2 linked regions of the Alligator mississippiensis genome follow. The protein of the gene in region 1 interacts with the protein of each later gene in a pairwise test. Links are inferred from orthologs where the notes say so. Each region holds a gene or a part of one and is shown in the gene's direction. Other genes may lie near its edges. The genes, in order: HPRT1 and ISCU.

Region 1 (12,253 bases):
TGCTGCTCCCCGGATGCTACTGAGGAGCAGACGGGCACCAGGATGGAGGACATGGAATTTGGAGCCTCTCTGTTTTTTGCCAAGAGATGCATCTTGTACTGGTTCATTTTTGCTGCACACACAGGACTAAATATTCAGAGCCTCACGGCTGATCACAGGCAAGCTCTCCATGCCTCTGTCACCTACATGTGTTTGTTGTCAGCAGCTAAAGGTGGCCCAGCAGCACATGGGCTGCCTGGGTGGGGAATGCTGAATGCAGGAAGTGAGACATCTCACATGGCCCTGGAGGGAGCCAGCTCAGGCTTTGCTTTCTATTCTCAAGTGTCAGTTTGCACATCCACGTGGGGCTCGCTGGCCCTCCCACTCCCATCTCGGCAAGGCTTCCATACAGATTTGCAGCCACGAGCTCGTGCTGCAGCAGCCTCAGCCCAGAGTTGTTTCTCATTAACCCAGCTCCTGCCGCCACCTCTTTCAGCTGCACAACAGGGATAAGCAAGGAGTGACCCAAACAGGCCTGGCCCTTGGCCGAGGCACTGCATGGCCCTGCCGGCTGCTGGAGTGGAGTCCAGTGGGAAGTCCAGGCTTACTGTTGCCCAAGAGAACAGCACATTTCCCGCAAGTGAATCAGGTTTCCACTTAAGTCTCAGGGCTTGTTCAGACAAACGTGGTGCCCTGCAGGCAAGCCCTTCCGATTCAGGGCACACCTCTATCTGCACATAGCTCTGCCTTGCCCGCCGATGCCGGTTCCTTCAGCTGGGAAGTGAGCCTGGAACAGGCCCAGACTGTGAGGCCCCTGGGGAAGAGCTCTACCCAGTGTAGATCCACCCGCCAACAGCAGGCCCAGAGTTGTAACCATCCTCCCCGTCAGGTGTGTGGGGCCCTGTGACGTAGGTAGCCTAGCTGGGTGTGTGCTCCAGGCTTGGCAGCATACGGTTACACCAGTGTCTGTCGGCTCATGTTGATGCTACACGCGTGTCATGAGGATGTCCCTCAGCTGTGTCAGGAACCTGTTTTCTTCCCTTTAATTCCTGTTTTCACCTCTGCTGCCTAGTTGAGCCACAGCATTAAATAAATCCCTTCCAGGCACTGGCTGCGTCTGCTTTAGTGGATGCACACAGCACCTAGCACCATCCTTTCCGTACTGCACAGTAGTGAGCCTGATCCCATGCTCTTTCATCCTGAATTCAGAATGAGGCCCAGAAAGTGACTTCTTGGTGCAAGTGCATTAGAGTACACTCCAGTAAGTCCACAAAGAACGTGTCTAGCTATATATGCAGCTTTCTCACCATTGTATCTAACCATCCCCTAGACATAAAGCCATTTTGCTTCTCAGTGCACCTGTGAGGCAGGGATGTTTCCTAGTTCAGAGAGTTTCCTAGGATCAGGGTTGAGGCAAAAGCTTACACCTCACAAAAGGTCAGAGCTGCACTGCTAGGCATTGCACTTGGCTCTCCCAGGTCCAGGAGCTGCACCTCCATGGCAAGGCCTTCCCACAGTCCTTGGCTAAGTCTAGGCTCATGAGGGCATGTATATTAGGGTGTGTGCGTGTGTGCGCCCCCCCCTTAATAACTTCATGTTTTGGTCAGCAGCATATTCACTGCTTTGTGAGTTGTTCCTTAGCTACTGGTTTTCCTCTTGAGTACAAAGGTTGGTATCCATCTCAGGACCTATATCCTCCACTGCTCACCACTACCACTCTCTCCTTAATAAGGAATATGCTGCCAGACTTCTGACCAAAGTGAGCTGCACTCCCCTCCACCATTGCTGTGTTGCAACACTCATCTTTTCTCCTCCTCTTTCAGATGTGCAAACATGCAGGAAAAAATAGAGATTTCTAGGATTGCTAATCTTTATCACATCAGTCAGCAACAATAGAAATAGAAATGGAAATTTGGGTGAGGCCTGAATGATAGTGGATGGGCTGTGATCAAAAATCAACTATCATAAATCATCTGTATTGCAAGTGACTTCAAACAGTTTCACCCTCCCTACACATTAGATGTGGCCTCTCTACAGTCCCCCTTCGGAGGTGTGTGTTAAAAAATAAGATGCCCTGGTCTCAGATTTGGGTGGGTCTGGTTGCCTGTGTAGAGGGTGATTACACCCTGGTCAGCAACAGTGGATGGAATACATATGATATTAGACAAGTCCCCAGCCACAAAATGTGTTTTTTAGATATTTTTTAAACATATTCAATGTTAAAATTCAATGTTTCTCAGAGCTATGGGTCTCTCAGACTTACAAGCAAGCTTCAGCAGGACAGTGTACTGGCTTCCAGGTATCTCTGAATCTGTGTGCATCTCCCAATCTGAAATGCTCAGTGATTTCCACACTAAAGCTCTAAAAATCCTCAGCTCAGCAACTTCCTGTAATGTCAGCAAATCTGTCTGCTGTTGTAAATCTGCCTTCTCCTCCCTATTCGTGTGCCAGCAGGACCAGAAACTCTTGGGATCTGGAAATCTGCTGTTTGGCAGGAAGAACAAAGAAATTACTCACCCAGAAGGGCAACAGTGGACTAAAACTTTAGTGCTTCTATTCACTCGGGAGAAATGTCACATGAACTGGCAGCAAGTGCCACATGCGGTGACAAAGGCTGGATTTGACGTTATTTGTTAATAAGCATTGCTAATATCAGCTATTAATAAGAAAGCTTCATCAGTACACATAGCAAGCAGCACCTGAATCCCCTACCCACTGTCCAGCGCAGTCAGGCATTTGAGGAGCCGGTCAGAGCTTCTCTTTCCCCTCTTCCATATCGATCTGGTCTTTCTGCTGAGCGTGAACTAGAGGAATTGAGGGTGAGGTTGTGCCCAGGCTCATAAGTATGTGTAAGGAAGGAAGAATATAAATGCAGAGCCGGGCACAGTCTCAGTTCTAGATGCAAACCCTGCTCTGTGCTACTGCTAACCTCCCAAGGGCCATACTCCTGCCCTGCTCCCTCACGATTTGTTATAGCTGCCCCTTACAGAAGAGGAAGAGAGGCAATGTTGCACCCTTTCCAAGGATGGTACAGCTGCTCTTCCCTGCCTCTGCGTGAAGCACTGCCCTGTGTGTCTAGACAGGGGCACTTAATTTAAAAAATAGCACTTCTGTTGGCCCAAGGGGTTGCAGCTCTTCATGCAGGCAGACTCTGGCTGTAACAGTGGACCGCTCTCAGCACAGAGGTCACGTAAGGTAAAGAGCAACCTTATCTTCTGTGAGATGAAAGGGGTTGGATACAATGGTTGTGAACAGTGAGAACTGCCCAGTGCACGATTCACGTAAATGGGTTAAATGCAAAACCATTACCCACCCCAACCTGCCCCTTCTGGAAAACTTGGGCTAGCTCACACCATTGTCAACACAACAATCAGACAAAACGGCTTTATGGCTGTAAGGTTTTGTCTGTACGGGGACATGGGACATTACCTGTATAATGGCACCAATATAGTGCCAGCAATATAGCTTCCCCAATGGAGGCTGTTAGTCTAGAAGAAGCATGCTTTTTGATTTAGCGTATAACACTTGGGGGAATGAAATGAGCCATGCTTGCAAAAGCAGTTCTGCTGATATAACTGTGTACGCCAGGGGCTCTTGCCACCACCACAGCTCTGTCACTTACAATTCACACCTGACTGCAGCCCTGACTGACTCCTTCTCAAAGGGAAAGGAGCAGGGCCAGGGCCACCAACCTGCTCAGAATAACAACGTGACATCTGATGCATGACCCTTTTGCTGCACCTTCTGCTTGGAACTGGACAGGATGTTTGCGAGTGACCCTACCACTGGTCCTATCACAACAGCGGTGCTTTTCTTTCTACTGGGAAGGTGCTGAGCATAGACAATTATCCCAGTTACCCCTATCCCTTTCACTGGGATAACCTGCAGAGCCCCTCAAGTTCTTAATCTAAGAGCTGTGCACAAACATTAATTAAAATGTCCCATTATAAGGACGTTTCTACCACTTAAATATTAAGTATGACATGGTGGAGCAACGCTGTGTGTTTTACGGATACAGGAGCCTCCCCTTCAACAAAACTGTGTTCCACAATCTGTGTTTTTATTAAGAAATAAAAAGATCTGTTCACTCTCAGAGCCACAAAATATTGCCTTGAAGACATCAACCAAGGTCTTACTGATGATGACAGAGATTAGGCCTGATTTTAGCTACTGCTGACTAGTTTTTCTGAGGTAAACTGTAAGGTGAATGAAGACAGATGAAAGCTGCACTGGTTGTACTTCCTCCAGCCTCAAGCAGGGGAAAGGACTAACCAGGACAGGGCTAATGAATATCTTTTTATTAAACACAATAATCCAGGTCCATAAAGCAATACCGTGTTTAACATTGTGCCCTTGCCTAGAATAAGGATTTGAAGGAGTAATGTCAGCAGAAGCTAACCTGGTTTGAAAGTCCAGTGCAGTGGAGTAAGACTGTCATTAACGTGCTGATCTGGTCAAGCTGAAGCTTAATGTAATGCATTTTCCAAGCACAGACAAGGCCCTTGCATCTGTAGCAGGTGCAAATAATGACTCTGAGATTTGTGAACTAAATCATCACCCCAGGTTAACCTCTAAAAGCAGGAGCTGACACTCCAAATGTCAACATTGTTATGTATTTCACTATAATGGAAATATCAAGTAAATTAGCTTAGTCTACCCCCTAAATCAGCTCTTTTTGTCACTGTGCATTTTCTAAAAATACCAGTTGCTAAAATTATAATTCATGCAAACGCTGCTACCAATCACTGACCTCTTATATGGTAGTGCTTGTTCACAAATAGACAAATCTGCATCAGATCAAAAACGAAAATGTGCATCTAACATAAAACAAGTTTAATATAGCAGTGCCAATGCAAAAACTGCCCAGGCAGCTGTGCTTCTTTTATTATTAATGTTTCTATTCAGTTACGATGTCTAGTTCTCTAATACACTTATGCATGCTGCATAATCCAGACCCCTTCTCCCAAAGCTAGGTACTGCTTACTGAGGAGCACCTGAAGTTTGCCAGATTGAAGCAATGATGCAGTCCAGCATTCAAGGAAGAACTCAGTTAATGATTAAACAATACAAAAAAAATCCCTAAAACTGTATTTAAATCTAGCATCATCCTGAAGGGAAATATGGCATAATTATGCAAACTAAAGAGCATGGGAAAAGCAGTATTCCAGGAAGCCTGAAAGAACATAGTGTTTGTATTTTCCTAATCTACGATTCTATTCACCAGGCCCGCTGCATGATTAAGTGTTTTGATTTAAACCATTAAACATGGTTGAAACGCAGTGATGTTGGGTCCATGTGCAGGGAAGTTCACTGAAGTGAAAGCTTCAGCAATGAGGCACAGCCTCATTTAAGTGAAACTCATTGCTAGTGTTAAGCTAAACCGTTAATTTTGCTCTTGGTAAATTCTTTGGGTCAGAGACCATCCAATGGGCCTTGATCCCTAATTAGGTCTGGGCACTGTAGCAACAAGAACCACAATCATAAAGACTTGACTGTGTTTGCAAGACCCTGCGCTCAACCTGACAGCATTTGCCTGTCTGTGTCCCGGTGTCTTTAATCTGCAGTTTTGGGGAATGTCTTAGCATCCCCAAGGGGAAAACAAAAAAGATGGATTTGGAAGAAAACCAGAAAACTGGAAGTGCGACAACGTGGGATATGTAGAGCACCTACCATATGGTCAATGAACGCACAACGTCAAGTACTTTTGCAGCGCTCTACAGCACACAGAGCTAAATAATGGCAACTCTCCACACTTTCTACCATAATCAATGCAGCTATTTAATCTCTGCTCTCCCTGCCTCAATAGGAGTGAATACAAATCACTTCTCTCCAAGACCGAGTGGCCAACAGAAGATAGCAGGTATGAAGAAAAGAAGCGTGCATGCAACCCCTGGCATGGTGGGGAGGGTCTGCAGAAACTTGGCAAGGGGGACTGCACCTACCTGGGAGGGAAGTGCGGGAGCTGATATGGGAGAAATCAGAAGGGGACGGACACGCTTAGCATGGAGGGGAAGGGGAATGGGGGACGTAGAGAGGCCGAGGCATGAGGGAGGGCAGATGTTGTTGAACAAAGAAGGCGAGAGAGATGGTGGGGTAGGCAGGAGTGCAAGGAGCCAGAAACAACGTACCAGAAGCCTATCCCTAACACATGGGAAAGCAAAACGACAGCAAGAGGCACACGGGCTTGTCACGGTATTTGAGACTTGACATGACGTTACGTGTGGGATTCACCTTGTCCGCAGCACCGGGAGCCCGAAGACGCCTGGCCTTGAGCGGGGGCTTGGGTTCGATGATCTCCTGCGGTCCCTCTCCGCCGGGCGGAGGAAATCCTCCCCGCCCCAAAACGAAGCCCTGAAGCGTGAGATTCGGTCGCTCGCCGTCCGAATGTAGCGCTGCCAAAGCCGTGCCCCTGTTGAGGACGATACAGGCGGTCCCAGACGAGGATGAACTTGGAGAGTCAGGGGTTCAGCTTCCAGTGCACAACCGCCCCCGGCATGCACCAACCGGGCCCAAATTCGCCCCCCGCTTTTTAAACGAGTCTGAAAAAACCAGCAAACCCCAGCGAGGCCCTTTGCTTTCCAAGCCAGCTCTTCCAATACGTAACGTCGCGGGCGGCCACGTGCGCGTGGCAGGCGAGGAGCGTGCGTCCGCCTGTTTCGCAGCCCCCTAGCAGCGTAGCCGTAAATATCACCCTCCACGTGTCGCTCGCCCACACTCGAGCCCTTCCACCGACAGGCTAACACGTCCACGTTTCTCCTCCGCCCGACACGTGCGAGGGAGGGGCACGCGTGTCAAGTGTCCCCTCAGCGCAGCCGGGCCTGGTCCGGCCTGGGTCCTTAGTGGTGGTTGTGAGGGGGGTTGCCATGGTGATTATGAGGGGGGGGTGTTGCCATGATGGTGCTGAGGGGTTACCATGGTGCTTATGAGGGGGTTGCCATGGTGACGACGGGGCGCCCCCCCACCCCTCACGGGCGCCGCTCGGGGCGGGAGGCCGCGGCCATGTTGCGGGCGGGAGGCGGCGCCTGTGGCGGCGGGAGCCGAGCCCGCTCCGAGCCGAGCCGAGCCGAGCCGATCCGGCGGCCGCGCACCAGCTCCATGGCGACCCCCAGCCCCTGCATCGTGGTGAGCGCCGCGGCCCGGCCCGGCCCGCACTGGTCACGGTCGGGGTCGGGGGGGGGACACGGATCCCAAAAATAGCGGGGGGTGCGGGGGGGGGGGTATGTGGGAGCGACGGGGCCCCAGAGATTGGGGGAGGGGTGATGATGGGGTATTTGGGGGGCGATTGGCGGGGGCTGATGGGGGTATCTACAAGTGACGCGGCCCCAAAGGTGGGCAGGTATTTGGGGGGCATGGGGGGGCTGATGGGGTACCCCCCCAGAGACGGGGAGGTGTTTGGGGGAGATTGCAGAGGAGATGGGGTACCCCCTAGAGACGGGGAGGTATTTGGGGGCATAGGGCGGCATGTGCAGGGATGGGGGTCCCCGAGACAGGCACTATTTTGGGGGAGGCACCTAGCTGGGGGTTACTCTCCCAGCACTGGTTCCTGCCAGGGCCTTGAGGATGTGTGCGGGTCCCTCCTGACCCCAGAAACTACGAAAGTATGGGGGTTTGAGGTGTGCATGGGGGTGCGGGTCCGTCCAGGTGCGAGGTGAGGGGAGCGCGAGCGAGGTACTCGGGGGCAGCCTGGCTGCGTCAGGCCCTTTCGGGGTGCTTGCCCCCCCAGGCGCCCCATGGCGAGGAGGTTCGGAGCGACCCACGCGCACCCTGCGCCCATCCAGGGCAGTCGCATCCATCCCGGCGGAGGCTGCAGGGGGCCCTGCCGGCTCGGGCAGACGCCTTACCTGCGTGCTTAATGTGACTGTGGACTCTCCGGCGCTGGGCGTAACCTTGACGTCCTCATTAAACCAGTTAACAGCCATGGTGACTTTCAGTTTGCAAGGGCAGGGGATGGTGCTGATTGTGGAGTTCGCCACAGGTAGTATCTGGTTCTTGTCCCTGCTTTCTAACAGCTGATCTTCAGCTTCCCCCCCAACCTGATTTAGAATAATGTAAATTGGAAAAAAAAAAGGAGAGCTCATCATCGTCTTAGGGAACATTTCTCAAGAGGCTTTAAAACCAAAAACAAGACGAACCTGCAGAGAAAAGCAACCTCCTTTTTTTACCTTTGCAAATTACGCCAGCGTGAAATACATTCTGATCTCCATCGCTTTGCATAGTATGCAAACTCATTAATGCATTTGTGTAATAACATGCGGAAAGGTAGAGTTTAACTATAATCAGCTTATAATGCTTGGGTTAGACCTGATTTGAAAGGCACTGAATTCCTGTTTATTTTGAAGAGGCTCTAAAAAAAAATACCTGTTTGAAATGTAATTTTGTACAACCCCCCAAAAAACAACCCACCACCACCGCTCAAGAAAACCTGTGGTTTCTATGAGTGACTGCACTATTTAGCAGTGTCCCCTGGCTCAAAATGCCGTGCTCCTTCCTTCCCCCCAACCCCTACAGCAGTATGTAGTTTGCCATCCCTATTTAAAAATGTCAGTGTTAAGTTTTTAGGAAGGAGTCATTTTTTCTCTGAATATGGAAAGAAAGTTTTGTTAAATAAATTAAATATAATTATAGAGTTGAACTATAAGAAAACCCTGTAGCTTTTAAAAGACAGGGATCTCGTCTGAAATAGTAGCTTACTAAGGTTTCCAGGGCTGTCTTATCCAGTGATTGCTGAGTTTGGTGTACCAGAGAGGGAGGAGTAGTCTTATAACTTCAATTCTTATAGGCTCTCATGCTACTAAGTCTCTTGTGAAATGATCCTTAGCGAGTGGCATGGCATAAACCTGAGCAGGTGACAGCTTGCAAGGCCAGGTAAAAGCTTCCTTTGGTAACGAAATGATTCTGCGTATTTTGCAGAGAGAACAGGAGTTGAGCTGGATCGTTAAGAGGCATGCGCTGGTGAATTACGAGTAATAGGCTTCAGTTTTCTCCACAGACATTTAACTATACTTCACATATAATGGGATTCAGCTGTAAAAGCAGAAATGAAGATAGTAAAAATTACATTAGTAACTTTAAATGGTGGGTAGGTAAAAGTCACGAAAGCTCAGATCTTGATGCTTTTGTAATGGCACATCCTACACCTTAATAGTTCCTGGTGTAATTATATGTCTGCTAATCACATGTCATAATTAACACACACTTGAGTGCTGATCCTGCAAGCTGTTCTGTTCTGGTTCCTGCCCATGCCAAACAGCTTGCTGAAATGGGACTTTCATGTCTGATGATGAGAGGTGTTGAGCACCCTGCAGTTCCCAGGATCCGGGCCGTAGAAACATGCCAAACCCCTTCTTGATGTGAGCATGTAACTGGGCACATTGGTAAAGATGTCTTGTGTCTCAGTTATTGGAAATGGGCTCCTGGATTTTGTTTGATTTGGTATTGTGCAGATTTGGAGGGCTTCCATGTTATTAAGTACACTTGATCAGTACCTTATGTAGCTTCTGTATTGCCCTTGTTAGAAATAAATGGAGATTTTTTTCCTCTAAAAATAAATAATTTGTAGTACAGGGAATGGAATCACAGCTGGAGGGGAGTCATTTCACTTCCTGTTCTCTCAGCCGAAGGAACTAGTTAAGATTTTAAATGAATATCTGCCCTTGTTTGATGTTTTATTAAGCAAGTGCTCATTCATTCGGCATGTGAGATGGGTCTCATATGCCATAGATGGTAACACTAACCTATACTTGACTTCATGTTCAATGCGATCGTTGCCTTTATATTGAGGGAGGATAAAGTGATGAGCATACCAGGTTCAACAGCTTGTTGAAAAAGTCAGGGTTTGATGTTTTACTTCACAGGTCTTTTGCTTGTCATACCTGAATTCTTCTAGGTCATGGTTTCCTCAGAAAGGACCTGTTAATTGTACCAACTCTCATCTTTCATATTTTCATTTCAGATTGGCGATGATGAACAAGGTTATGACTTGGACTTGTTCTGCATACCAAAACATTATGCAGATGACTTGGAAAAAGTCTATATTCCTCATGGGCTTATTATGGACAGGTTAGTTTGACTTCAAATAATGTATTATGCCAACTTAATTTCATGAAATTGGGAAAAATGTCTACCAGCAACAGTTTTGTTAAGCCTTGTAGCGTTTTGCTATCTGATGATGATCTAAATAGAGGACCTTGTGGAAAAATTTTAATTAGGAACTACGTGCTGTCTTCTAGAAAGAAGTGCAAGCACTAATTAACTCTCTTTCACTCACAAGCCTCTAAGAATTGGCACATTTGCTGCTGTGGTCATTTTCAAAACTACAGGATAGCTGTTAGGAGATACTGTACTAGTGTTAAGAACTAACCAAAAAAGCACCTTAGTTTAGATTGCAAACGGAAAACATTATGGCTTTTTTAATTTTATCGCAAGATTAATCCAGGGAGACTGGAGACATTGTTTCCGTACTTTCAGGTTAGGAAAACTTAATATCTTAAGTTCTCTTCCTTTCTGGGAAATGCATCATCAGCCTTTGCAAAATACTGGTCTATTGCTTCTCTACAGCCAAAACCCATAAAACTTGTATTTTCTATTTCTGTTCTCAGAGGGAAAAGCAGTTTCAGTGGCGTGATTACCAGAGAAAACATCTTCCAAAAACTACCTTTTGTACTTACGAAAAGATCTTTTTGAAGTGGAGATAAGGATAGCCCTAGAGTTCATGTTGTGGTAGTGAATTCCCACTAACTTAATAGGGTATTTTAAAATATTTATTTCCAGCATTAACGTATTTATATCATGGTATTATGAGAGCTATTTATGGATTTCCAATGTAAGTTAAAAACTGACTAAAATACATAGCATTTGAGTAGTATTTTATTAAATGAAGGGCTCTAGTTGTAGCCTCTTCCTAACAAGTGTGTGGCTGGCTGAATATGCTATAAATATTACACCATGCTTTTCTAAATAAATGAGAAGCTAAATTTAGAAATGATTTCCTTCTGAAAGATGACTGGTACAAGTAACATGTCAGTCAGCTGGCTTCTAGTGTCTGTGTATTGTCCTTAGCTTTGGAGTTAATGCAGGGTCCTTGTCACTTGTGTTTTAACCTGGAACAAAAGTAAGGCACTAGTTTTCCATCTGAGAAATGCCTGCCTTTTGCCTGGTTTGTGTAGGATGGCTCTCTCTGCTTGTTCTACTGGTAAACAAATTTATATTTCTCTGTGCTTGGGGAACAGAAAAGCCGCAGAACATGCTTTTTTTTCAAAATCCACATGTGAAAGAGCTACTAACTGAGCAAAGATTCAGATTTGTTTTGGCTGATTGTGACCTATAAAGCTGGCAGTGTGTGGCAATGTTACTGTTAGATTAACCTTGAGAAGTGAGAAAAGCAAAAACCTTACTGACCAGTAAACAGTAAAATTGGCTGAGAAGTGCTAGGCAAATATTTCATTGAGCAAGGAAGATATGTGTCCTAGTGCAGCATGAGTATTTCCCATTGCTGGCTGCAATACCAAAACATACTGCTGTAAGAAACAAATGGGCCTTGTCCAGACGAGCATGGGTGTGCAGTATGTGGCACCGCAGATACGTTTGCAGCGCCACATACTGCATGTTCAGCTGTTCTCCATGCTGTAAGAGAGCAGTGCAAGGAGCGGGGGAGGAGGGGGGGGTTGACCCCTCGATATCCAGAGGTCAGAAAAAACCATGCAAAAAAAAGTGGAGCAGTACCGCTCAAAACCAGAGCCTGGCCAGCTAGAACCATGCTGCGGCTGCTGGCCAGGCTCCGAGTGGCAGGATTGCTGCTGCTGGAGCCCTGGGAGGCCCCCAGGGCCCCAGCTAAGGTTGCTGGGGCAAGCCCAATGTTGGCCCCAGCCTCTCCTACCCCACCCAGGGTAATCTGCCTCACACCAGAGCGTGTGTGGCATAGGCGTTCCCCAGGGACAACCAGCGGCAACACAAGGTGTGCCACTGCCAGTTGTTCCCAGGGAACCAAACTTCCATGCTCATCTGGACATGGCCTTGAGGTGCTTTGTGATAAGTAATTAATGTTGGTTTGTTTTCTCCCTACAGGACAGAAAGATTGGCACGAGAAATCATGAAGGGCATGGGAGGACATCATATTGTAGCTCTTTGTGTACTCAAGGGTGGCTACAAGTTTTTTGCTGACTTACTAGACTATATCAAAGCACTGAACAGAAATAGTGACAAATCTATACCCATGACGGTAGACTTCATCAGGTTGAAGAGCTATTGTGTAAGTTTACTTCATGCTTTGATAGAA
Region 2 (11,390 bases), on another chromosome or scaffold:
GACCCACTACCAACAGCTGCAATTTCTCTGCCAACAGATGTCACTTATATCTTGCTTCTGGGCAGTGCATAAGAATTAAGGTTAATGATGCCAGACTGCACAGGCCCTTGAAAGCAAGTCATAGAAATTAAGGGCTGGAAGCGACCTTGAAAGATCTTCAAGTCCAACTCGCCTGCTCTGGGCAAGAATACGGCTGAGATCAAATTATCTCAGCAAGGTGTCTGTCCCGTCTCCTCTTGAAGACTTCCAAGGATGGGGACTGCACCACCTCCTTGGGAAGTCTATTCTAGATTCTGGTCGCCCTTACCATAAAGAAGTTCTTCCTTGCTTCCAACCTGAAACCATTCTCTAACGGTTTATGGCCACTGATCCTTGTCTTCCCCTGGTCATCTTGGTGAACAGTTTTTCCTCCCAGCTCCCAATATTCACCCCTTTCATACTTATAGACAGCCACCAAGTCCCCCCTCAGTCTTCTTTTCCCCAGGCTGAACAGTCCCAGATCCCTTAGTCTTTCCCCATAAGGTTTGTCCTCCTGACCCTTAATCGTTCTTGTGGCCCTTCTCTGGACCCTTTCAAGATTCTCCAAATCTTTTCTGAAGTGGACACAGGACTCCAGCTGCGGTATCAGCAACGCCGAGTAGAGAGAAAGTATCACTTCCTTAGCCCTGCTCACAATGCATCAGCTAATGCATCCCAGTATGCTATCAGCAATGTTGACTACAGCATCGTACTGGCAGCTCATGTTCATCCTGTGATCAGCTATAGCCCAGAGGTCCCTCTCAGCCATCATGCTGGCCAGGACATCTCCTCCTAACCTATATTCATGTTGCTGGTTACTTCTCCCCAGATGAAGCACTCTGCATTTATCCTTACTGAACTGCATCCGGTTCTACTCCGCCCACCTTCCCAGCTTGTTCAGGTCTTCTTGGATCTGCATCCTATCCCCTAGTGTGACCACTTTTCCCCATCACTTAGTATTGTTCGCAAACTTGGCCAGCGTGCTTTCCACATCCTCATTTAAGTCACTGATAAAGATGTTGAACAGCACGGGGCCAAGAATTGAACCCAGCGGGACACCACTGGCCACCTCCCACCACGATGATACAGACCCATTCACTAACACTCTAACCGTCATTCAAAACATTACCTGCTATCCACTCACCAGTTCCCCTTCTCAGCCTCTAATACTTCCCCACTATAGATCATCTCTCTACCTTCTTCCCAATTATCAACGGGCATCCCTAAAGGTAAGCCATGTTAACTGTCACTTCCATGTTTCCCAATGGCCAACGGAGGGCTGATGTGGCTTTTTTCCTCCTGTTACCCTCTGCATAGGATTTTATAATTGGGGTGTGCAACATAAGTGAAGTCTGACAGCAATCAAAAAACTAGCATTAAAAGAAAGTTAGTTGATGTTCTTTGACAGAACGAAGGTCAGGAGAGCTGGGTAGGCAACTCCATCTGCCTAGCTGGAAACAACCCAGTTATGACAAATTAGGACTTAACTCCCTGGGTGTGCGATTTCTGGAATGAGTCTAATTAAAGATCTGAAGAAAACTCTAACTGCGGGGCCATGACCAATACCTCCAAACCTGCCACTCCACTTCGCAGATGATGCACATTCAACCCTCCACCACAATGAAGGGAAAGAATAAGTTAGTGCTCTAATTAGGTATGTAGCAGCAGCCACCATCTGGCAAAGAGGTGTAGATAAGGACCAAACCCCTGCCTGTCTTTTAATGAGAATTCTCACTGTCCTCTGCTGCAAAGCATGAGTGGGGTTGGACACTTACAAGGGCGTTTAAGGACAGGGTCTTTGTGATACTACCAATACCCTACTCTGAAAGACCTTTTATAGCGAAAGAATACAAAGGTACACACTGAAGGCAGCAGTAACTAATGAAACCAATTCTACAGACAAGAACAAGGTGGTGAAAATAAACCTTTTAAAATCACTAATTTGCCCCAAGCAAGGAAAGGAGAGTTCATTATGGGATACAGGATTCAGTAGGTGCAGGGAGTTCTTCACAGAAAACAGCCAATGCAAAGCCACAACACAGTGTTAACTGTTTCCTGCCTGTAAGAGCAGCAAATTGCTTGGCAACATCTATCTGAAGTCTACAATCGTATGAGCCTGACTCTGCAATTCACTGCCTTACATAGGGTTTCCAAGCAGCTACTCTCTTCCTTCCAGGAAAAAAAAATTGAGGAGGAATAGTTCACAATAACGTAATGTACTTTTAGGATGTGTCTGCAACTTACAGATATAGTCTTTCACAGCCCGCTCGAACAAATCATACACCTTCTCTCGATCAGCGTTTTCTGAAGCCATTCTGATCTCGTCCTTTAACCAGTCCAGCCAGATTTCTGTAAGAGAGCAAGCATTTCAGACCCCATCAACCAAGGACATTCCAGAGCCTGAGAAACAAGCAGGATTGTTACCATGTCACTGGAAAAAGAATCTAAGCAGAGAATTACTTTTAAAAGAAATCAGGCCTTGAAACCTGACAGTTACCTACAGTGAACTGCGCTAACCTTTGGCCAGCTTTTACCCATTTGGACACCATACGTACGGGCAAATTTGTATTTAAAAGGAGAACAGCTGGTCCCTTGTGCTGTGAACCATAATTCCCTGTGCCCTGAACTGAAGCCATCCCACAACTGGTGCCCCTCTGTGTACTCCAACACGTACTTGGCCAGAGCGATTGCATTTGTCCCTAAAAAGGGGTCCCCCTACTACCACAACACTGTCAAGGCAAAGCAGGGAAACACACAGCTGCTGCGAGTACCAAAAACAAAACAACGAAATCAGTCTTTCGGCTCTCTGCGACTTAAACTAGTAAATTCAGGAAAAAAGACAAATTTTAAGGTTTTAGCCACTGCATGCCCAGCACTTGATTTTACTGCTTAAAATATTTGCATAAGAGCAGTCAACTGTGTCTACCTAATTTGGTCTTGTGAACCCTTCATGAAGTTGAACCCCAACACTTCACACAACACACAGTTTATTTTCTGAAGAGGGAGGAGGGTTGGTATCAAGCCAGAGGGAACGGCGTCAGCGACAAGAGCTCCCGTACCTTCAGTGAGCGGGAAGAGTTCGCTCATCTTCTGGCGAGCTCTTCGAAGCTTGACCAGCTCTCCCTCCTGACGGAGGAGCTTGATCAGGTCCAGGTGACAGTTGTAGTCGAACGCGTTGATCGAAAGCTTTTTGAAAGGAAGCGAAAAAGGCGTCAGATAGGAAGCATTACTCGCTGGAGCAGAAAACGGGGAGACGAACGGCTAGATTACAAACGTGTCGGCGGCCCCGCGCGCTGCTGTCCTTGCCCTGTCGCGGAGCAATACCAGGTGCTTCAAGGACATAAACACGATGACATCTTCATAACGCTTCTACGCTTAACCTGCCGCGGGTTCAAACAGGGTCTCCGATCGAGCAGTTCAGCTTAACGCCAGGGAGATTTTGCTCACCGGGGGCTCGCGAGCCTCCCCGAGCTGCCGGGAGCGCCGGCCGCGGCTGTCGTTTCAACTGTAAACGGGGGAATGCGTCTGCCCGTTTTTAACAACCTCTACCTACAAAAATGAACGTCTGTAAGCTAGAAACACCAGAGGGCTTCAACTCCTCCGACAAAAACCAGCCAAAACGAGCAATTTTACAAAAAAGGGATCGTTTCTGATCTGTCGGATCACAACCGTTCTTTATCGCCAAGCGAAGAACGACGCCTGCGTTTGCAGCTCAACGCTGGGGCGCGTTTTACAGTCCCTCGAAGCCCCCGACGGCGGCGCCTAAACCCGGAGGGCCAAAGGCGGTGTTTTATAGTTCGCTGAAGCCGCCGACACCTACACCGGGAGGATTCAAGATGACCTCGCGGCCGCCAACGGCGACACTGACACCGGGATTAAAGATTTTACAGTCCGCTGAAGCCACCGACAGTGACACCTAAGCCGGGGGGAGCTAAAAAGACGACGTTTTTACACTTCGTTGGAGACAGGAGGGCTGAAGTCGCGGCCCCGTGCGGGATCAACTACCACCCTCGAGCGGTCGTGGACGCCCCCCTCGACCGTGTCGGCCTCAGGCGTGGGGGGGAGGGGAAAGGGCCCGCGCGCTCCCGCCACCCCCACGCGAGGACCGTGCGACCGTTACGGCGCGTTGCCATGGAGACCGCGTGCCGTGGGGGGGGGGAGGGGAGGGGAGGGGAGGGGACACCCGCCACCCCCCGGCCCGGCCCGGCCCCACCTGCTCCTCCAGCCGCTGGATCTCGGCCTCGTTCTCCTTCTCCTCATCCTCGCCGTCCCCCGACGACTCCGAGTCGCCGCCGCCGCCAGCTTCCTCGTCTTCATCGTCCTCCTCCTCCTCCTCGGAGCCAGCCCGCCGTTCCTGCTGCTCCTCGGCCGCGGCCGCCGCGGGCTCCTCAGCTCCCGCCGCCGCCGCCATCTTGTGCCGCCGCCTGCCGCCTGCCCCGCGCGGGGCTGCCACGCCGCGCGCCTGATGGCTCCAGGATCCCCGCTGCCGCAGGCGGCGGCGGGAGCGGGAAGGAGCCGCCGCTGCGGGAGTCGTCCGATCCCTCCTGTAAAAACAAGAGCCTCCCAAAAGGGACCGGCGGCCTCCTCTTGTGTTTCATCCTGGCAGGCTACTTGTTCAGCCACCTGTAGCCCCTGAGGGCGCGGGGGCCTTCGAGAAGGTCAGCGCCGGGATTGGCTGGAGCTGGGGAAGGGAGGGGCGGGGCTTAGCCGCCATGTTGAGTGTGGCAGGTTGTGCAATGCAGGCAGCTGGCCTGGTGCTGCAGTGGGCTTCCAGCTGTTTCAGCGCATCCCGCTCGTTTTGGGGGCAGAGGCAATTCCTTGCAAGCATCAGCACTGTATGTGCACCCTCCGTCCCCCCGACTGCTGCAGCACCTTGTTGGGGGATGACACACACCAGGATCCCCTGCGTTTACAAAGCTGCCCCCATCCCCAACCCTGGAGATGCTGTGGAGCTGCTCCTAATTGCTGTCAAAATGGGCCCAACCCACGTTTGAAGTGGGGTAGTGCCCAGACCAGTTTCTCCAGGAGAGTCCCCCCCCCTCCCCCCATGGTGAAGATTTGGGAGCGACCCAAAAAGGATTTTGCCCACAAATCCCTGCCCAAACTCATGGTTGTGACCTTAGCGCAAGGCCTGGGGGGCTGGCGCTTGGCAGGCTGGCGTGTCGACGTGTACTTTGGGTCGGGCAGCGTCAGGTCTCCGTCTCCGTGGCGGAGGTGTGCGTTTTGGGTGCCCCCATGCAGCTTTTGTCCAGGCATCCCAGCCTAATCTCCGCTCTTTACCCAGAGCAACGGACTCGTTGGGTGCTATGGCCTGCCGTTTGTATCGGCAAACGCAATCTTTTCTCCTGTGCCTGACGAAGGATGTCGGTGCCCGAAAGCTCGCAGGGAAAGAATTTTTTTGCAAAAATCTAGTTGGCCCAGCAGCGCAGGGGCCATCTCACCCTCTCCCCTACGCACGGCTGGGCTTCGCCACTCCTGCCCGCGAGCCCTGATAGTATTTGTTAGCAAACATATCATTTCTGATGACCTTCTGCCCCTCCAGCCACCCACCCACCTTCAACTGGGTAACGATTAGCTTGGGACTAAGGCCTGGGGCAAAAGGAACCCGCCAAAACACCCCCCCCCCCCCCCCCCAAATCATCAGCTACCGGGCTCAACCCTCGTTTCCCACCGCCCAGCAAAGGGTTAACCAGGGGCACGTGGCGACGCCATTACGCACGGTGAGGGGGCGGGGCTAGCCGCCGCGGGGACGTAGCGGGCGCGGGGACGTAGAAGACGCCGGCGCCGCCGCGTTCAGGGTCACGTGACAGAGGGGGAGTGGCGGCGCAAGATGGCGGCGCTGCGGACGGGCGGGCGGCTGGCGCAGCTGTCCCGCGGCTACCACCGCAAGGTGGTGGATCACTACGAGAACCCGCGCAACGTGGGCTCGCTCGACAAGCGCAACAAGAACGTGGGCACGGGGCTGGTGGGCGCGCCCGCCTGCGGTGACGTCATGAAGCTGCAGGTGCGCGGGGCAGGGGGAGGGGGAGGGGAGCACAATACAGAAGCCCTGGATCGGGCGGGGAGCGGAAAGCAGAGCAGCAGATCGGATGGGGGGGGAGCGGGAATCCTCGCCCTTCTCCACGGGTTGCTGCCTTGCTCCTCTGCGCAGCGGCCCCGGGGTTACAAGGCGCGTGTCAAAGCCCCGATACCGGGGAGGTTCGCGAGCGCGCGGCGGTCTAGAAGGCCACGCGCTCGCGGCGTTGCTCCGTCGCGTTTCGAGCCTCGCGCGGGCGGCTCTCCCGGTGCCCGGCGGCATCTTTCGACCCCGCGTCGCTGCCCCCCTCGCAGGTGGAAGTGGACGCCAGCGGGAAGATCGTCGACGCAAGGTTCAAAACCTTTGGCTGCGGATCGGCCATCGCCTCGAGCTCCCTGGCCACCGAGTGGGTGAAAGGGAAGACGGTAAGACCCCCGTCGCACCCGCCGGTAGACGGGAAGCTGGGAGGGGTGGAGGGCGGACTGAGACTATCCCATCCTTACGGGCAGATATTCGTAGGCGTTTGTTCCTCTATCTGGAAACGCCGAGCTCGATGGTTTTGCGAACGTGGCCGTTGCAGGAAGAAAAAGGTGTTTTCAACCAACACGTTAAAGCGCGGCGTGAACAAGGAGAGCTCATAATCACGCCTGTGGCCTTCCTCTCCCGTCCCACCGTCCTCAGGATCACAACTTACGCTGTTCCCATATGCACTCTGATATAGGCAGTTGGGATGTATCTATATCGGGATATATTTTTGCACCAAAAAAAAAAACGCATCCTGACCTACAATTGTAGGTCGGGCTGTACAGGTTTTCTATAGTAATATCCAACCCAGGGGTCCCCAGTCTTTTTGGTCCTACGACCCTATTGCAGTGCCAGCCCAACTCGTCCAGTCTAGTTTCTCTAGGTCTTGGCGCAAAGGGAGGCTATGAACCCTAGTCTGGACATCAGTAATTTGGTCGTAACTCTGCCGTGCCTTCAGTTGCCACCCCGCGTTCACATGAAGACCTTTTGCCTAGAGCCCTTCTGTGCTGCTAGATTTCAGGAAGAGATGCCAAGTGGCTCGGCGCAAGAATATGAACTCCAATTAACATAATCATCAGCAAGGAGTTCATAACAAAAGGCTTCTTCTCCCCGTCTTCCTTGGTACCCGATCCTGACGGTTCAGCCGAAGAGCATCCCTTTAACAAATATCTGCACGTGACATCAGGAGGTGGGGAACAAGCGTCGCAGCCCAAATGTAATCTTCCATTTTTGTTTCAGGTGGATGAAGCCTTGGAGATAAGAAATACAGATATTGCTAAGGAGCTCTGCCTTCCTCCAGTTAAACTGCACTGCTCTAGTAAGTTGTCAGTACAGACTTCATTTTTGAGATGTAACAGCTAAACCCAGTTGTTTGCCATAGATCTGGAAGACATTTCCTTCTGCTTTTGTTGTGCTTCTCAAGATGCTTTGAATTGAGACCAGTCGCTGAGGTGCTTTAAAATGCATCTGTCTCTCAAATATTCTGTTAATCTGATCAGTTTTGGGTGAAAAGCAGAAGCAGGCATGCTTGGGTGCGTAAGCCTTGTTTACAAAAAAAGCTTGAAAGCTCTTCATCTTTCTCTTTCAGTGTTGGCTGAAGATGCCATCAAGGCAGCCCTGGCTGATTACAAGCTAAAACAAGATCCTAACAAGGAAGAGCCTGAGAAGAAAGCAGCCAGTACCTAGAACTGTGATGAAAGCTTATTCTCATTAATATCGCAGTGCAATTAGTTTAGGTGTTTAGAGAAGGGAGCCAGTGCACTACCAATCTGAAGCCGTCAGGTACACCCAATATACGCACAATGTTTCACTGTTCGCCTGTATTAAACCACCTTTGTAGTGCACAAATCATTGGTATCCTTGACCTTATTTCTCCACTGATTACTGTCCTATCTGTTTCTCCTGGAAGTGTCTGGGTGAGGAGGGGAAGCACTTACTCGAGGCATAAGTCATTCCTAGCAGTGAAAATCCAAGTGTTTGGAAGGGCTGCATTTCATTCAGTAAATGTATAGTTTTTTCTGAGAGTTTTATAGAAGAGGATTATTTGAAAGCGTGTTGCCTTGTCTTAATGTTTATGCAAAAAAAATGCAGATCAGTTTTATTTTGTGTACAACATATGCAATATATTAAACAGCCTGCGGCAGTTCATCTGCCTGGTACAACTGGTTTGGAAGTCTTTCATTTCACGTCTCTTGTCCTCCCTACGAGCACACTCCTCACCCCCTCCCTATATCTCATTTCCTGGCACCTCAGGATATGTCTAGAGCAGTGGTTTGCTTTTTAGACTAGGCATCCCTCTGAAAATGCTATCGCTTTTATTTCTACTTGTTTTTTGGTGACAAAAAAATACTAGAGCAATTTTTCTGTTGCAGAGAACTCAGGAAGACCACAACAGGTCAGGATGTCTTTAACAATGAATTCCTTTTTGAAATCTCTAGGTTTATCTTATAAATCATGTTTGCCCAAATAACAGTGCTGACATTATGTGGTACCCTGCAGCACCCTTGAAAGGATCTCAAGGCATCCTGGTTGAGAATCACTGGTCTAGAGGCTTGCCAGTCTGTTATTGACCCAACTATATAGATGGGAGACATGTTAAAGAAGCTACTGGAGCACAACTCACTCCTCACCCCTTGTGTGAAGTTTGATAACCCTAAACTAGCTTGTAACCACAATAACGACCGCTAGAGGTCAGTGAAAAATAGCTAAGTAGGGAAACATTGGCCATATTGGCTTGCCAATTCGAGTGCTACTTCTGGCTGAAACGTAGGTGGCTGAATTGTACCGGGTTATCAGATGCGGGGAAATGGAGTTCTGCTAAAACAAGGTGCAGGGCAAGCCTGTGGTGGACCCTATTATTCACTGAGTCTAACTGAGTTGCGATGTTTCTGTTCAGGCCAGAACCAATAATCCCCAAACATTCCTTATCTAAATATAGGATGTAAACCAAGCGCTATTTTCTTGTTTCCTGCACTTAACATTCTTGAAGGCTGTAACATCTAGTTGAAAACATACCAGGTTTTGAAAGAAATCCACACACAAGACTATCTGGAAGGATTTCTTTTTTTTTTACTGCTTTTCTCCTCAAATAGCAATGTGCTCATCCTTACATTTGCTGTTTGGATGCTAACATAGGGTGTGTCCAAGCGAGTGCAGCTGTGTGGTATGTCTGTGGCGCCACACACTGCACATTCAGGTGTTCTCTGTGCTGCAGAGTAGCAGTGCCAGGGTTTTTTTTGATCCTGGAGTCAAAATGAACTGCATGAAAAAAAAGCCAGGTAGTGCATGCCGCCCAAAATGAGTGGCTCTGGCCGGGCTCTGAGCAACAGGATCAGCACAACTGCAGCTCCCCAAAGACCCCAGGTAAGGGTGCTGGGGCCAGCACAGTTGCTGGCCCCAGCCTCCCCTACCACGCTTGGGTAATACGCTGCATGCCAGAGGACACATGGCAGGGGCATTTCTAGGGACAAGTAGCAGTGGCACAAGGTGTGCTGCTGTTTGTCCCTGGGAAAACGAACGTCCATGCTCATCTGGGCATGACCATAATGAGCAAAAATACACTGTAAAAGCTTGGCTGTACAAGTGCTATAACCAGATGCTGCTCATACACAGAGGCCTCCAGAAGCTTAGCTTTAAATTACCCTTCCTGCTGTAACAGATGTGGACAGCTGGATACAGAAAGACTAGACTACTTAAGTTACCAAGGAGCTCAAGTTATGGGACAGGATCCCACTCCACCAAGTACTGTGCAAACACAGATAAGCTTCCTGGCCCAAGTTGCTCACCGTCCAGCTATCAGAAGAGTGTATAGAATCAAAATTGAAGGAAAAATATTAATGCCCCATTGTTCTCCTTGTTCACTTTTTATACCCATGGCAGCAAATGAGTCCTACGAGGAAGACTCTTTCCTGCCCACATGCAGGGGGTCTGGACCCGATGATCTGCAAGGTCCCTTCCAGCCCCTAACAACAATGAAACTAAGCAGTACCCCTCACTGCACATGGATGTTTGGAGATAACTATAAGACGCGTGGCGTGCTTGTGCAATAGAAAAAAAAAACCCATAATAAAGTTAATTGTCTCCAGAAAAGGGACTGCTTGTGGAAAATACAGCCTAGGGGCCAGGCTTTGAACCAGGATCAAACAAAGTCGTGAAGAGCTGCTTGTATATGAGCATGGTCTGTCTTAGGCACGGTAAGGCAGGGGATCGTTGTAAAGAGATATAATGAGGTTGAAGTCTAGCCTGAAGCTTAAACTCAGAGGCCTGTGGCTCCCTGGCTTTCTGGCATCCTGTCAAAACCCAGGCTGCTGGGACTGCACCAGTCAGCAGGGACCCCCAGATGCCTCCCTAGCTAAGAGCTTGGAGACTCGAGCTTCCAGGGATCTGGACCTTCCCAGCAGCCAGCCAAGGGGACTGCCAGTCCAAGTTCCCAAGCAAACTACTGGGCCCTCACCTTTGGACTCCAGCAGCTCGCCCAATGCCCAGCTTGGCAAGTCAAGGGGCCAGGGGCTCCGAGATCCCTTGCAGGGAGCTCAGGAGCTAGGACTTGCTGGGCTCCCAGGTGCCTTCCCCTCCAGTGGCAGGTTGCTTTCTGCCCTGGGCTCTCCAGATTCCTTGGGGGTTGGAGTGGCCAGCCAGGAGCAAAGCATCTCCCCAAGTAGGTAGCTGGCTCCCTGCCCAGGCTTTGCAAATACCCTGCTCCCAAAGGTCAGCAAGTCCCTACAACAGCAAAGCCAGGGTCTGTGCCAGGGTGGATTTGAGGTCCCTTTCCACCACCCGGGAGTCTAAGGAAGTGAACTCAGCAATTCCACAACAGACCCGAGTCAGGATAAGGGCCTTTGGAGACGGTGCCTAGCCTGAGCCCCTCTGCCCACAGTGCTTTTCCCACCACCCCAGGCTGCAAGGCAGTTTAAACGCACCACTGCTCCACTAGCAGAGTCCTCACCTCCAACCTGCACGATCGGGGCAGGGATCAGGGTCAGGAACCTGCCAATTGGGGCTGAGCCCAGCAGCCCAGGTGCCATCTCACCCTCTCCCCTACGCACAGCTGGGCATAGCCGCTACTCCCAGCATCTCAGGCTCAACCAGGTCTGTCAAAGCCAGTCCTGGTGGCCCCCTCAAAATGTGCATGGCTCTTCTGTTTTGTCAGGGCCAGCTGCTGCTGAGACACACTGGCCCTGCCATGCCAGAAGCAATTCGTTGCCAGGTCCAGCTTCCCACAGACAGGACCATCCAGCTGCACGGTGTCGCCATGTCCAGCGACAGCTGCACACCATAACCCTGCAAGTCATAAAGCTGTTCCCATCACCAGCAGATCCGGGACTGCCAACTC

What was found.
Region 2: the proteins of HPRT1 (region 1) and ISCU interact in binary tests that used the Homo sapiens proteins (3 or more experiments, as listed by UniProt). The two-hybrid records come from large-scale screens. The link is inferred for Alligator mississippiensis from reciprocal best matches to the Homo sapiens genes HPRT1 and ISCU.

What each region holds. Positions count from the first base shown.
Region 1 is NC_081831.1:80,411,219-80,423,471, reverse strand, and holds the start of HPRT1 (hypoxanthine-guanine phosphoribosyltransferase), read left to right. Parts: upstream 1-6,991; 5' UTR 6,992-7,074; coding exon 7,075-7,101; intron 7,102-9,931; coding exon 9,932-10,038; intron 10,039-12,042; coding exon 12,043-12,226; intron 12,227-12,253. UniProt on the Homo sapiens protein: Converts guanine to guanosine monophosphate, and hypoxanthine to inosine monophosphate. Transfers the 5-phosphoribosyl group from 5-phosphoribosylpyrophosphate onto the purine.
Region 2 is NC_081833.1:4,622,621-4,634,010, forward strand, and holds ISCU (iron-sulfur cluster assembly enzyme ISCU), read left to right. Parts: upstream 1-5,818; 5' UTR 5,819-5,848; coding exon 5,849-6,022; intron 6,023-6,348; coding exon 6,349-6,459; intron 6,460-7,297; coding exon 7,298-7,376; intron 7,377-7,646; coding exon 7,647-7,744; 3' UTR 7,745-8,220; downstream 8,221-11,390. Other genes in the region: SART3 (squamous cell carcinoma antigen recognized by T-cells 3), read right to left, coding at 2,263-2,367, 3,078-3,204, 4,232-4,429.